Linked DNA regions of Drosophila melanogaster. The protein of the gene in region 2 purifies or fractionates together with the protein of the main gene of each other region. This does not show direct contact. Each region holds a gene or a part of one and is shown on either strand. Other genes may lie near its edges.

Region 1 (7,114 bases), on a different chromosome or scaffold from region 2:
CTGAAATGGTGGTGGGGATTTTGTGCTTTTCCTTTTTTTTTGCAGCTTGGTGACTGTCGCTGGTAATATGCAGAAAATGTATTAAATTAAGCTTAAACTTTTATAGCGTTTGGTGCCAATCAAAATCTGCTCGGATTGCAGATGAATTGGAATATTTATCTTTTCGACGCGACATTTCTTGGTCATCCTATTATGAAGACTTACAGCTATTCGTTACGAAAAATTCTTGTGGCTTGAAAATCAATAAATATGCAAGTAAAGGAAATATTTTTTTCTGGTTTTAGGCAACCAGCAAGGGTAGTCGAAACTTTTGAGAAATTGCGAAACGTCATTTATCTATTGTAAAAGGAGAAAATGAGTACTTGGGCTATGAGTGCTTCTTGGCCCTCGGTTTAATTAGAGCCACATCCACTGGGAGCGTTTACATCATTTGCCATAATTCATCTGTCCACTGACTGCCAGCTGCTGTTGTGCATCGCTCGAAATAAAAATCAAATCACAGAGCCGTCCATCTTGGCTGTCAGTTGCCATGATGCTTGCTTGTTTTTCCTTGCCTTGTCTCTTCTCAGCTGGGAAATTTCTTTTAATATAACAAGCCATGCGAAATGCGTACACAAAAAGATGGCAAAATGCTTGCTCCAACGCCCGCTCACACTAACTAGCCACAAGCAGCATTTCCCACTGACATGCAGCTTGTGCATTTTCCCCGTCTTGCATTTGATTAACCTACAAAAAGGCGTTTGGACGTGCGATGCAGTTCGCACAGTGGGCGTTCCTGTTTGTTGCTGCGGTTTCTGGGCTTTTCTTAACGGGCAACTTTAATAAAAAAAACGGTCAGCGGGGGACGGGATGCAGCTGCAGCGGGGGAAAATGCATAAATGCATAAAAAATTGGCCAGCTTACAAGCCGCTTTACATATGCAACATGGGCGCCTGCTGTGCGGGTGTGTGGGTGTGCGGAAGTGCATTGGCACACATATACTTGTACGAGCACACATTGTTGCAAGCAGACATTTTTCCGACACGTGTTTGCTTTCCCGCACTTCCGTTTCCGCCGAGCCATTGATGTGACTTTCCGTCATTTTGTGGGAGAACGAGCTGCTTTTCCGACGCCTTGCCAGCCCCTCAAAGACTTAATTATTTTTCACCAAATAATTAATCAGAGTGAAATGGGAAACTAACAAAATCGGACAGGATGGTGAGACCGACCCCATTTACTCTTGTGATGAAATTTCGAAACTTTGGTAAAACACTTTTTGGCCCTGTGCGAAAGTATGCTGTGAACTATTGCAGCCACCTGAAAGCATTCACGCATATTCGTATGTGTGCGCGTGTGTGTGTGGCCAAGCGTTTGCGCTCGTTTGTGTTTTGTGGGTTGGCCATGCATTTCCGGTTTTAATGATTATAACACAATCAAGTGCATATTGCCTAATTAGCGATCCCCAGCAGCAAGCGCCGTCCAGGCCGCATAAAGTGCATAAAATATTTCCCGCACTCGCTGCGGGCGCTTCATCCGCATGTGCATATGCATGTGTTAGTGTTCGCTCGCGTGCGCTAGTGTGTGTGAGTGCTCGCATATTTTATGTCGCTTATTGGACGGCCATCCACAACGAGCTGTGCATCTATAGTATGTATGTGCATGTATATGCTTCTAGCAGCTAAATTTCATATTCATGTTGTTTATACGGCTTCCGTTTTGGGTGCGTGTGCGAAAATATTGTGTGTAATTGTGCGGTCGGCTACCCGTTTTATTTGATAATTGTGCACAAAACTCCCCACCTATTCATTAGCGCTGACGAACAGCGCCCCACAAATTTGTAGACACAACAAAGGCAAACTGTTATTCCATTTTCCCCCCCAAAGTCTGACACTTGACGCGAGCTCCCAATAATTTAGTTAAAGCTCGTCCTTGGGTGATTTTCGTCCTGCACTTCAAACTGTTTTCGGGCTACAAGTGAAGTAAAGTTATCAAAAAAGTTTGCTGATACCAAGTATTCGACGTTTCGCAAACTTTTCTGAATTATATGTGTATATACGAAAGTAGTGAATGCATATAATAAAGGATAAACGTTGCTTAAGAAATCATGTTGCATGGAACTTAATTTGTTAAGCACATCATTCAGGCTTGAATATTTTTAGCTAGCAATGGCAATGCTAGAAGTCAAAGGAATTGTAATAATAATAAATCGCTATTTTGTTTATGTTGATAACGAGAAGGATATTTTAGGATACTAATATACAAAATACAAAGACAAAATATCCTAGGGGTTTCAAATCATAGAATTGGGCAGAGCTAACAAGTTATTAAGGCATAAAAACCAAATATATATATATAAATATATATATATATGTATCCTTTTGCCATTAATGTTAACCTTTATTGTATACAATAATTGTTTTTCTGACCCTGTTGTTTAAGTTTTCCTTTCATCAATATAAAAGCTTTTTTCCTTTTTTCTTAGATTTATTACGCGTTTTATAACAAACCGCTGCTGTAATGTGACACGGCTTTATGTTGTCAACCACTTTCGAAAGTAATTCATTTTTTTTCAAACAAAATTTCATAATTTCGTTGCGTTCTGTTTGATCATAATCCTGTTTTGAAACGACATTTTTTGTTGATGCTGCGCTTTGCGGGCCACTTTTAATTGCAATAATTAAATGTCAAATTAAATCCTAAATTCCTCGGTGGAATTAATTCAATTGGCGTGACAGTCAAAGTGAAATAACGAATAAAATACCACAATTTCCCAGCGCCGCTAGGGCCCTTCTATAAATGCCGTTTGCAGGCTCTACCAGCCGAGAGAAATGCTGTGATTGTTTTTCCGCAAGTCGGCACTCCTCTTTCATTTTTTTTCGCCAGCCATTTAATGAGCCACGCTCGACTTGCCGCCAAGAATGCAATCAACAGGGGAGGGGAGCGGAGAATGCACGGGTATGCACCAGGACCTTAGTACCCAGCAAGGAGCCAGGACCGGCACAATTTGCGTTAAGCGGGCTGTGAAAAATGAAGTACCAAATTGAAGTTGGCAGCCAGCGTCTCCGGTTGTGTCTTGCACTTATTTATTTATTTAATTCTGGCCATTCCTTCCGCTTACGTACAGTGCTGAGCTATTGTCCTCCGATGATATCGCAGGCACTCGCGACTCGCGGCATTCAATTCAAGCGAGGGACGAAACGCGAGCGCGTCGACTTTCGACACCAACGTGTTAAGAGCTGCGAACTGGTGCGACCGTCAGCGTTGCGCACTAAAACCATACTAAACTAATTTGCTTAGCAGGACGCACTGATTACACAAAGTCCTCGAAGGGCGATAATCGCCGTCATTCGTCACGACTGTCGACTACCGAGCGCTCTTCGGCTCGGAGTTCGTGGAGTTCGGCAAGCACTCGCGAACTTGCCGAAGCGAGCCGAACTCCAAAGGCAAAGAGAACCAGGTCCCGTTAGAGAGCAACAGAGCCAGAGCTCTGTTAGCTGGTTAACAGTGCTGTGGCAGGATAAGAAACCATTGTTGGGGCATCGAAGTCGACCCTTATAGCAGCAAACTATTCTTCCTATTTGGTGGGCTTAAATCTACAATGCAACTTCCAAATAGACCAAACGACTCATATCCTGGCATACTGATTTTTAGAGCTCTTTCCACTAATTTATCGATTTAAATGCAAAAATTTCGTGCCATCTAGCCCGGCATTCCCCAATGATGACCGAGCTTTCAATCATTTAAAATTCCCCAAATACACACACACACGCGGAACACACTCTTCCCTCATCAATGCAAAAATCAAACATTATTTATGCAAATTACAAGCCATTATTATTTAAGCCAACAACCACAAAGGCAGTAATAGTGGGCAAGTACGAGGAGGGGAAAGGGAAACTCCGACCAACAATCATATCCGTCATAGTCATAAAGCCAGGGACCAGGGGACAGCGGGGCCTGCCAATGCTTTGGGGAACCAATTTGGCAGCCGGCATAAATAAATTTTTACTTAATGTAGGTCAGTAATGTGCGCTTCGGTCTCTCTTACCCAAGGCTTCTCTCTTCGGCAAGCGGTGCTCTTTAGAGCGTTCTCTCTTCGGACGCAGCGCCGTGAAATATGCTACTAAAGTTGCTTCTTTTCCGGCTGCGTGTGTGTAGGTGCTCGGGAAATGCCATCAAGCATCAAAGGACCGGGTATGCTTGCATAATGCAAACAGCCAATGATATTGCCATGATTCGTTGAATAATTTCAATTCCAGCTTTCAAGTTGCACACACCAGTAGTCGGTAATTGGTATTAAATAGTTGGGTAGTTAAAAATTTGATGTCATAAAAATAATAAATGCTATTTAGTTATTTGGTAGGAAATCTTCATAAATTCTTAGCTTTCTTCTAAATTCAAAGGTGAAAAGTAAACGCTAGTAGCACAAATTTTTTAGTGTTAAGATATTTTTCGAACATAAAACAATTGCATCTGAATACCTTCGAATAAGCACTGACGCTAACACGATGAATAGCTGAGTGATATCCATCCTAAGTAAAGTTGCATTTGCCAGGGGCTGCATAAATAAATTAGGATACCGAAACTGAGCCAACCGTCTAAACTTCAAAACTCACTTGGTTTCCCATGGATTTTTGCGTAAGTTTAGCTCTACTCACAGTAGACTGCTACAGTCTCCCCCTTCATTCCCTTTAAACAGATCCTGAGACCCACACAAAATCGTCTCCTTGTAACGCATCCTGCAACGCAAGTTGCTCGAAATTTATGTACAAACTCACTTAGGCAAGAATGTTTATGCGTTTTGTACGTGTTGGTTACTGTCGCTCATGTGGGTAGCATCCTCCACATCCTTACCTTGCGCCATCTCATTCCAGCGATCCCACTCGTTTATTTTGGCATTTCTACGAATTTTTTGGGGAAATTTTGTAATGCTGTTCTATGTCCTGAATGTTGTCTCCGGGGAGAAGAAGTGGCCAAGGGGGAAAATGCCTTCTCACGCACACCGAGAAGTGTTATGAAATTTTTCTTCTCTAATGACCTAAATGCAAAGGAATTTCATCTAGCATTTGAGCTAATTGCTATTGCATTGCGTACCATTTAAGTTTCCGTAAATTAAGCTAACAGTCATTGCCTAGGACACGTTAAGTAACAAGTTAGGGCACAGTCCTTGGCACTCAAAGTAGCCACATTTAAATTTCTCTAATTCTTCCTAAGGGGTCATGCCAAAAGCTTTACCGTAAAGAAGAGTCGTCCTTCACGCCTCGACAATTTGAGCATTTTTCCTTCGCAGACTGTTTCCCTTGATCACTTCGGCTGTAAACTATACTTGGCAGTTGCATGAGGGCCAATTATCTGGCACCTCGAGCGGCGGTTTCATTCCAGCTATTTACATATAATTAGCGCCCAACTGGCAGACCGTTGCATCGTTTTTCGCCACTCTCGTTCTCCGTATTTGCACAACGCAGTTTTTGTGCATTTCTTTGTAGTTTCCCACTCCAACTTTCCCTTCAAGACTCTTTGCCAACTTTGACAATGAAGTTGCAACGATGACAACCCCAACAAACTGGAGCGAGTGAAAATATGTAGAAGAGCTTTCAACTGGAGTCGATCAAAAGTTACCCTGCTCAATCGACCCAATTGGCTAAACAAATCAGAATGAGTCTTACTTGCTTGTATGAAAGTGATATCAAAATAATTGTAGTTGAAGTGCAAAAAAATACAGCAGTAACGCATTGAGACAATACATCCAGAAATATCTGAGATAAATCATGTTTGCTTCTTATTATTTTCGTATATAACTCAAGAATATTCAGCTAACTGGGTAATATACCGCGTATAAAAAGGACCGAGACCATCGAAGGTATGCGAAAAACTTTCCCGGCTGATGGCAGTTGCATAGAGGCGCCAACTTAATAAGGCCACCAAAGAGCCCAGTGGGTGGCGCGTATGCAAAGCAGGGGGCTGGAAAAAAGAATTCACGATGCAGAGAAAGGAACTGAGGCTCCCTTGAAGGCAACACTTTCTATCATTCCAAAAGCAGCCAGCTCAAAGCGGGATATATTCCGCCTGATTGCACTGAGATGCTGGGGTCCATGGCGCAAACAAATTCGCAAACGCTCAATTGGCAGAGGTCGAATGCAGCCCCTTACTTGGTTGACAGACAGCTCTGAGTTTGTTTGTCGGCTGAGCAATGGGCGAAACCAACCCGGCGTATACGTAATGGAGCTTATTGATGAGCGAAAGTAAGCCCAGGACCTTTCCATTTTTGATTCGCCATTCCCCGCTCTAGCCATAATAGCACAGTCATCTGTGGCGGTCATTTTCATTAGCTGGCATCACGCGGTGGATGCAATAGCCACAACAACAGCAGCTTCCTCCTCACCAATTGAGCGGAGCTTTGTCCAAGGATACCCACCTGACTGCAGTTAATTTTGCTGATGCCCACGCTGTTGACTGTTTGGCTGCTGGCTCAGCTCCTGTTTTTGGCACCCGACTGCAGTGAAAACCAATTATGAGGCCTCCAGCAAAGGCTGCATGCAACATGGAATCTTCTGGAGTGCGGATTGTGCCAGTAGACCGAAAAATCTCTACATTTTTGGTTAAACCTTTAAAATGAAAAAAAGAAGATTACTCCATTTTTCTATCGCCATGTATTGCTTTTTATTTTCCTACGAATAACTACGAGTAGCAACCAATACGTCATACGCGTAACTAATTAGTTCATCATTTACTGATTGCACTTTTCTGGTCTTCCGCAAACACAAACTTGATCAACGCAGGTAAACTGGTGCTTTTTGGTACACAGCAAAACACCAGATCTCATTATCATTTTACCCTTCAGAGCCATCTGACATTCCAAACGGCCTCTACAAAAACTACCAGCTGACAAAATTGCTTCACAAATAAATACTATTAAGCAAAGTAAGCTGGCTTCTTTTCGATGACATTTCGATGGCATTGTGATGTGAATAAGAACTAAACTATAATTCCTCTGGGCTTAAATAGTAAACGGCTTAACTATTTAAGTGTTGCAAATGTGATTTATTCCGGTTCTTGCCAACTTTTCAACGAATGTAACATACTCTTTTGCTGTTCTAAAACTATATTTTATTATCTGCATATATCAGCAAAAATC
Region 2 (8,533 bases):
TACATATGCTATGGACAGTAGAACATCTATATGGTGAACTCAAATCTGAAGGAATAACTGTCTAGTTAAGAAAAGCTATGTAAATACGCAAGTTTTCCATGTACATTTTGGTAATGTAAAAATAAGTTCTAAACCTTACTTTGAAATGAAAATAAGAATCCTTTCCTGTTTGAAAGGACGACTGTATGTTTGTATATTCATGAACGAATCAGCAGCAAACTACAATTATTGTGCACTTTAGTATCGCAGTGAAAGGCTGAGCCTAATGACCGAGGCCGTGACCCCAGAAGGGCAGTTGCTCCCCTCGAATCCCCCGGCTGAAAATGCGTACTAAATGCGCTAAATTACTAACTAAATGCCGCAAGTGCCGCCCCTGGGCATGGCTAGAATTTCACAAATGAACGCCCTTTTTGGGTGGGCAGGGGGTTGGGTTAAATGGCCAGAGGGGTGCTTTTCCACTGTTTTCTTTTTTCTTTTTGGGTTGCTTATACCAAAGCCGAAAAACTAAAGTCAAAAGGAATGGGAAAGCGAAAGCCAAACACTGCCGACAGTCGATGACATTTGAGCGATAAGAGAAACTGTTGTGTGGCTTACTTGCTGGCAACCCTAGTGATTTTCTATACCATGTAATGGTTAGTTGGTTGTTGGGGGGGTCAGAGGTCGAGAGCGTTCCTTGTGGTTGTTGCTGGCATTAAGTATGCAGGCGTGTGAATCGTGAAGGCGGATATACAAATACGAATAGTATATGTTAGCCGACCTTCGAAGGCAGCCACAGTGCTACACTTGCTTTTTACAACATTGAGAATTGTTTTAAATGTTAATGCCGATGCTCTTGGGCTGATAATAAAATGGGGCAAGTGTGGGGAGCGGTGTGTCAGAGTCAACAAATAATTGAGATGTTTTCCTGAGTGTCATCACACACGCTTTTTTTTCTACAGCCCCAAAAAGTGGGTGGCTGGCAACCAGAGTGGGTGGCTGGTGCTCCCCCGGCGGACGAGAGTCAGCTGTTCTGAGTGCGCGCACTTGTGTTAAATTATGCGGGTTTGATTTTTATTGCACTGCCGCTCATTTCATTCTGCTCCCTTTGCTTTTTTTTCTCTCTCTCCCATTTGTTTTGCTTGCTTTGCTTTGGTTTCCTTTGTTTTATAGGTTTTCCCCAATGGGGGGGAGTGGACCGCATGATACCGAAGCATACCCACTGCCCAAAATCAAAACCATCTCGGAAAGTATAAACAAGTTGGAGTGACGAGCACGCGTGTGTGTGCGGCTGTAATGTGGTCATGCCTCGTTGCCCCAACGAGCTGTTGCTTGGCATTTCAATTAATGGCACTTGCCACCCTTGTATCTACCATACCATACCAACCCACTCCTGCCCTCCAAGGGGTCAGCTCTTCCAACGCTGCACTCCTAATGAAGCCGTCTCCAGCTCCAGCTCCTCCAGTTTCAGTTTCAGGAGGAAACCAGCCGCAACCTCATATCTGCCACCAAAATGAAGGTCTCGTCTCTTTGGGATGCTTTGTCAATGGGCGTCGAGATATGCCTAAACACTTGAAAAAAAAAACGATGCAGTATTGAAAAGGATCATAGATTACAATTATAGTTACTTCTGGTGCTATTACTCAGTGATGATTTATTCTGCCATGAATAATAAATCTGTAAGATTTATTTTTAGCCAATGGACCACTAATTTTTTTTGTGTGCACAATTGCAACTTCGCGGTGACACGTGACCGCAAGGACATTTGTTGAGCCTGAATGTGCCGCATCGCACGTCTTAATAGATTTTTGATTTGTTTGCCCACCCTTCTTAGCTGGTAACTCAGACTTCCCCATTCCGAACCCGGATCCATATCCGAATTCGAATCCAAATCCAATTGTGAGGCGGGCGTGCGTCTCTGATTGGAATAATGATTTCGCTGAAGCAAAGATAGAACATAAACCGAGCCAGATTTGTTGTTTTTTTTTTTTTTGTGGGGAGTAACTTGTTTTTGTCAATATAGAAAATCAATAACTGTTTTCGCCGCTACCGTTCGGTTAAATCAGACGAGGGTAATTCAATTAAGAAATCACACAGGAGGCCAGGAATTAGTAAAAATGGAACGCTCAAGGCTCCGCGAAATGGAGGATTAAAAGCGAGTCCTGAAAGTTGGCCATTTCTTTATTTCTGTCTATGATGAACAATGGGATGGTATTTGGGCAACATTTTACAAATTGTTTCAATTAAAAAGTTTACTGACTTTGCTTTTTCGCCTTTTACTTTATCTATAAGCGGCTTGCGATTGACACGTGCCTCCATCGCCACGCCCCCCCGACTGAACGCCTCCTTCGGTTATCGAATGGTAGTAATCGCTTTTTGGGGCCGCTAATTGCGGCGACCTTGATTGGTTGGGTGGTATTTATAAGTCCGCAAGTTGATTGCATAATACTGGCAATGTTTGGGCAGTGGGCCATAAGTCGTAAGCTGGGAAAGCCAAAAGCTGGGCCAATCAATTAAAAATAATCAGGCGGAAAAAGTTCTGGCCAATCTGCACAAATATATGTATATATTTCACAGTCGCTAATTAATTTAATTGATTTAAACGCTTCGGCTTGACCAATAGCAAGGCGAGGGGTTTGGGGGGTGTTATCGAGTGCATTTGATCTGTTTGTTTGCACAAAATTAAATTGACTTGTAATTAAAAGTTTCGCAATTGATTGAAATTCTCGTGTGTGCTTTTCCTTTGTGCTTTTGGGTGGCTGCGATGAGTCCCAGTACTAAGAACGCTTCAGGGAAATTCGCAGCAAATAAACAAAAAATAAGAAAAAGAAAAAAAAAAAAACACTAAAAAGTGCTAATTAGGAGCATTAATTAAAAATGCATTTTTTGTTTGCCGCTCAATTGAACTGCAGAGAACGTGGAACTGTAACAGTTTTCATACACTGGACATTTTCTCTTTAGGCCTGCGGAGTATAAGAGCGGCAGTATAAGAGTATCCCTAACTGACCTATGGCAGGATATTTTTGCGCGGTTTTCTTATTGTTTAGCAGCTTAAATGGTAGTGGGCATAATTAAATATTATATTAAAAACAAGAAGCAAGTTTCATTTATTAAGAAGTAGAACAATTTATTTCCTTTTATGATTTCCCTACATTTTAAAAGCAGAATGGTAAAACTAAGTCCCTAGAAAGTGGAATACAATACTAATATGTTAAAAAAAAGGTTTTATGAGTCTTAATAATAATTAAATAATTAGTAAAGGCTGTAATATAATTATTCATAAGCATTTTATTACAGTTGCAATAGTGCTTTATTACCTGAGACATTATATTCGATATAAACAAAGTTGCTTGGTAATTTCGTGCTCCAATAAGCCGACTGAAGAGAGCGGCTCTGCAGTTTTAGTTCTCTTTGCTCTTACATGTGAACAATATATATGCGAACTTGCCCGAGTGCCGAAGTTAGCCGAAGTCGAGGCGTTCGCCATGTGCCCGAGCGCCGATTACCAGTCAGTTCCATCCTGTGACTCGAAGGCGAAGCACGCGTTTCTTGATTTATGTGCGCGGGTTGTAGTCCCAGTTAAATCCTGTTCAGATATATTCCTCAGTGTTGAGGGTTTCGAAAAAGTGGGCCTAATGAGTGCCCGGGCCTTCGTGTTAATGGCGAATTAATGACGGGGCGATTAAAATGCAATAGCCACATGCATGGGGCGCCGTAATGAGCTGAACCGAGCGACTGAGTACAGTGAAACACAGTGCCATAAATTAGAGGCGCCCACAAAGTGTAGCCTACTGCTTAGCGGCTTTTGGGCTTACGATCTGTTTGAAGTGTTCGTAGACCGTTAAAACCTTTCGCACGCCCACAAAAAAAAAAGTTCTTGTGTAAAGCTCATTTCGCAGCAGATTAACAAAAAAGAAAAAAAAAACAAAACCAGAAAAAAAGGTCAACTCTCAGTGAAAACGAACCAAAAACAGGGCCAAGCGGAGAAAGTACTTTCATTGCTCCCCAGGCAGAGCTTAACCGAGAGTTTTGCCGGGCTCTAATTTGACGGAATCGTTAGTTGACCAGTGACGTTCCACCACCCGGGTGCACCCCCACCACACCGGAATCCGTTTCGCCGGATCCGGATCGCGTGCCAACTACAAGCGTAATAACAATAAACTTGCGGATAACAACCGCAGATACACAGATACAGATACAGATACAGCAGCACAATGTCCCTGCCATCCAGAGCCAATATCGGATTACTCAACTGGCTCATCGGCTGGCTGCTGCTGCTGTCGATGGTTTTGCTCAGAGGTGAGTTGTGCGTCGGGCTTTTTAATTAAATAATCCAATTTATTTTCATTTAATTTCTAATTAAATTTAATTTGTTTGCGCCGCGCTTTGGCCCACCTAATTGCCCCCATGCTCACCATGCCCACCACGCCCATCACGCCCACCATGCCCGTTGTAACCCAAAGACTTTCCTTTGTCGCCTAGGATTTCCCGTCTAATTTCCGGAAAACGAGCGATTTTCGCTGGCCTGGAAAGCGGGCGAATGCGAATTGAAAATTCTTTAATTTTTGTGCTAAGAATTTTAATTCCGCTACAGAGTCGGCAAAAGTTTTCCCTTTTGTCCCTGGCGCAAGTCAAAAGGTGAAGCATTTAATGCCCATCTGTGTGTGACTCCCAAAAAGTGGAGAACCAACAAAATGAAACATTATACAGAGGGAAAAACGAGTGCTCCCCCCGCATCTTGGTTTTAGAATATTTTTGTTTTTAATGCATATATTATATATGTATTTATACGAACTCTTCATGTTTTTTTTTGGGTTAAGATGAGTTAACAAAGTCAGCTAAAGTATATTTCTGTTAAATTATATAATATTACAAAATGTTTTAATATTGGATTTTGGATTGAATTTAACAACACTTTTAGAATATTCTACTTAAACTTTGTTTGAAGTAAGAACTTGAAATACTCACATTGTTATTGTACAATATTTAGTTTTATAGATACAATCACATACAAAAGTAGTTAGAAAATGTTTTAAAGGCTAGTCTACTATCATCTGCATTTAAAACTATTATTTACAGAAAAGCATATATGCAACTAAGTACTCCGGCTATTTGATTTTCCGTGCATTCGTGACCCACTCCTGTCCAGAGTTTTGCAGTCCTAGTTTCGCAGCCCACAAGGTTGGTCCAGTGACCAACTGAAGGGCAGGAGGATGAATGGCGAATGGCCGCATAGTGCGAGTGCGAATGCCACATGCAACGTGTGGGCTGGGCAAACGGTTTTATATAATAGTTTGCAACAGTGGGGCACAAGTCTCACTTTCAATGCATCAAATGAGAAGCACGCGCTTGTGATGCGCCGCGCCACAGAGATAGAAATGTGGGAAAATAAAAAGTAAATATGAAAAATAACACATACTAACGAGCGGCAGACACTTGGAAAATGCTGTTGAAGCTTGGTCATGGCCAAAATGCTTCTGGCTGCAGTTGCACTTGATGTTGTTGCCGCTTGCGCAGCAGCAGCAGCAGCTGCGTTGCATGTGGCACGTTGCAGTTGACACACGAAACTATTGCCATTGGGCTTGGCTTGGCTTTTTGGTTTTTCAGTTTTGGGGTTTAGCCGCCTGTTTGCTGCTTTTAAGTTTGCACTTTTTAGCTTTCAGCGGCTAGCAATTTTCTACTTTCCGTTTTCAGCTCGTCGTTTGTCATCTCTGAAAACAGTAAATTGCATTTTTATACAATTTTCCATCATTTGACTTGGCAGTTGTTCGTCTGGGCTTTGTAATTTTCAAATGAAATACTTTCCGAATGCAATTCGCTTTTGCGCAAATTGTTTCCTTCGTCCTGCTTTCCTTTGACTTGGCTGCTTCTTTGCCTTCTACCCGCCTATCTTGTTAGCCCATTGGCATCTGTCTGGCCATTTCATTTGGCTAAAAGCTACTTGAAGTTGGTTAAGCGCAGACAAACAGACGAAATAACTCATCTTGGCAATTGCAGAACCTGCAAAAAGGCAAGCAATCAAAAAAGATTCCTATCGAATTACTGGGCAACCGATTTTCCAAGGATTTTCTTTGGTCTGGGTTTTATTTGTTCTCTCACAAAGGTGATGATTATTACTTGTAATGATATATTGGAATTAAAATTATTTAATACAAAGTTTTTGGGCATAAAGATGGTTTAAGTTGATTGCAAAAGGCTAACAAGTCAAAATCTAAAATGTAATTTTTCACTACTTTAGCATGGACAACTTTGACAATTAGCCATATTCACTTTTTAAGTACCAATATTTTATAGTTAAATTTGCATATTATTATGCAGATTATTTTTATTTTTATTATATATATATGCATATTGGAATTTTTTGAGGCAAATTTTCGGCCGGCTGTTTGATTCTTTTTCTCAAATTAATTGACAGGGAAAAACTCGACAAATGCATGCGCATATTTCCATAATGAATTCATAAAACTTTCGATCGTGTCCTTTCGCGAGCTCGTGTTATTTGGTTTGTTGGTTTATTAATAAATAAATTCTGCCCTTGCGGTTTGGCTCTTTGTATGTGTGTGTGTGTGTGCGTGTCACTCTGTATGCAAAATTGCAGTTATTTGCACAGCTGTTTTGCCATATAAGCCAAACAAACGATTTTGCCCTTTTTCACCGCATAACTCGCATGTGCCGTGTTTTTTGACCTCCCCCGCAGCCACTATTAAGTATTTTTGTAAATATTTTCCATGTCGCCGAAAAGGAAAGCAAAATGAATCAATGGCGAAAAAATGATAATAACCGACGTGATTTTCCGTTGAGTACAGTTAATACAGAAGCAATGCTGGGAAAATATACATATACATATAATTGCTGGCGAAACAATTCAGCGTAGGCCGGCATCATTCAGCGGTGTCAGACTGATGAATGAGCCGACGCATTGGCCCAGACAAACGCCTAGGAGAGCACGCAATGCCCATCCATCCATCCATCCACCGTACTGCCATCCATTTCGTTCTCATTTTATCCGATGAAAAACTGACGAGGCGGCGCCTCAAAGTATGCAAAGCACATACTCAAGGGTTCGCAGGATCTGTTTGCCGGCGGGTACAGGTTATTCACACAGGCAGCGGCGTGAAAACCCGACGGATTCTTCATCAAGGCCGACCAACCAGATTTGTACCTTATCTTTTTTTATGCGTATAAATATAAACATACTTTTGGTTTTCACCCCCCAAAAAAAAGCTGCTTGAAGAAACAAACTTAGCCCGTTGTTGATTTTAATGGAATATGGCTTTACAGGAATTTGTGATGAATGGGTGGTTAAAAGTTCCACCGGAAGGACTCTAGACTATATTTGGCTCAAGGAGTTTGGAGGGAAAGTCGAATGGCATCATTAATCATTTAATAGACCAAGGACTGTACTTGAGGATGGTCAGGGATTACAGAAATCTGGAAGTCATTTATTAAAGTAATTTATTCACTTTACAAAGTTATCTTTTAACTGATGTATGAAACATATTTAAATCTGGCTCAAAATAATAAACTATCCCAAATCCCAAATCATTGGTTTAACAGAGCTTTGTGTAGCAAGCCATGAATAACTTTCTTAAACATAAGTCTTATGTAATACTTCAATATATTTAAGTGTCGAGCGAGTTTGAGTAGTTAATTAGGCAAAGTATTGTCAAATAGTTTCCTAATTAAACTGCTGGCACAAAGTTTTTTTTTCGGGCCAAAAGCTGAAAAGTTGCGCAAGTCGTTGACAAGCAAGGTATATATATTTTTTTAGGCAAATCCACAGCTTTTCAAATTATGATTCCCTTTCTAGGCGCAGGTCAAACCAACATTATTTTTTTACCGCTGCCTTCGTAACACTTATGGATTTGACATTTATATGACAGCCAAGGTTTTCTTGTGTGCAAGATTGTTGTTTCTGTTGCTCAAGCCCCTTGAGTGTGTGTGCTTTCGTTTTCGTTTTTTTTTTTTTAGGTTTTCGTCAGGAAAATATATAAATGAAAATTGTTTTTATTTTGCCCCAATGGCTCGGCATCCATGTGCGTAAGATACATACATACATGAGCATTATTTTTTGATTCACTTGGCACAGCGCTTTCTTGCTAACTCAACTATTTCGGTCACGTAACTTTGGAGCACCAGTGCAGAGAAAACCGAATCAGCCAAGAAAGAGGAAAATTTATGCATTTGATTTCAACTAATTTTCAAAGTCCAAGCATGGCTGCGAATGTTTCTGTTGTGTTTTGTTTATCGTTGGCCGAATTATATGCTGACATAAATTAGCCAAAAACTAGAGTGGTTTCGCCCACCCACTTTCCATCATGCCAATTTCCTTGTGGGCCTGGTTTTTACGACCAGAACAACAGCCTTGAGCCAAAAGACGTGGCTATTAAAAAGCACTCCAGCATTGAAAACCCTTTAGCAGCTGTGCTGTCTCCCAGCTTTCGGCTCGATTTTAAAGCCTTTTGGCCAAAGTGGCAACACAAATTGAACCAAAACACTTACAGACAAACAGACAGACAGACAGACGGATGGACAAGTGTCGTAAAAAGGATATATA

What was found.
Region 1: the proteins of dpr1 (region 2) and DIP-theta purify together in Drosophila melanogaster (affinity purification with western blotting; 2 studies listed by BioGRID). This does not show direct contact.

The regions. Positions count from the first base shown.
Region 1 is NT_033779.5:5,655,294-5,662,407, forward strand, and holds the start of DIP-theta (Dpr-interacting protein theta), read right to left. Parts: upstream 3,268-7,114; 5' UTR 3,102-3,267; intron 1-3,101.
Region 2 is NT_033778.4:20,694,996-20,703,528, forward strand, and holds the start of dpr1 (defective proboscis extension response 1), read left to right. Parts: upstream 1-3,487; 5' UTR 3,488-4,190; coding exon 4,191-4,275; intron 4,276-8,533.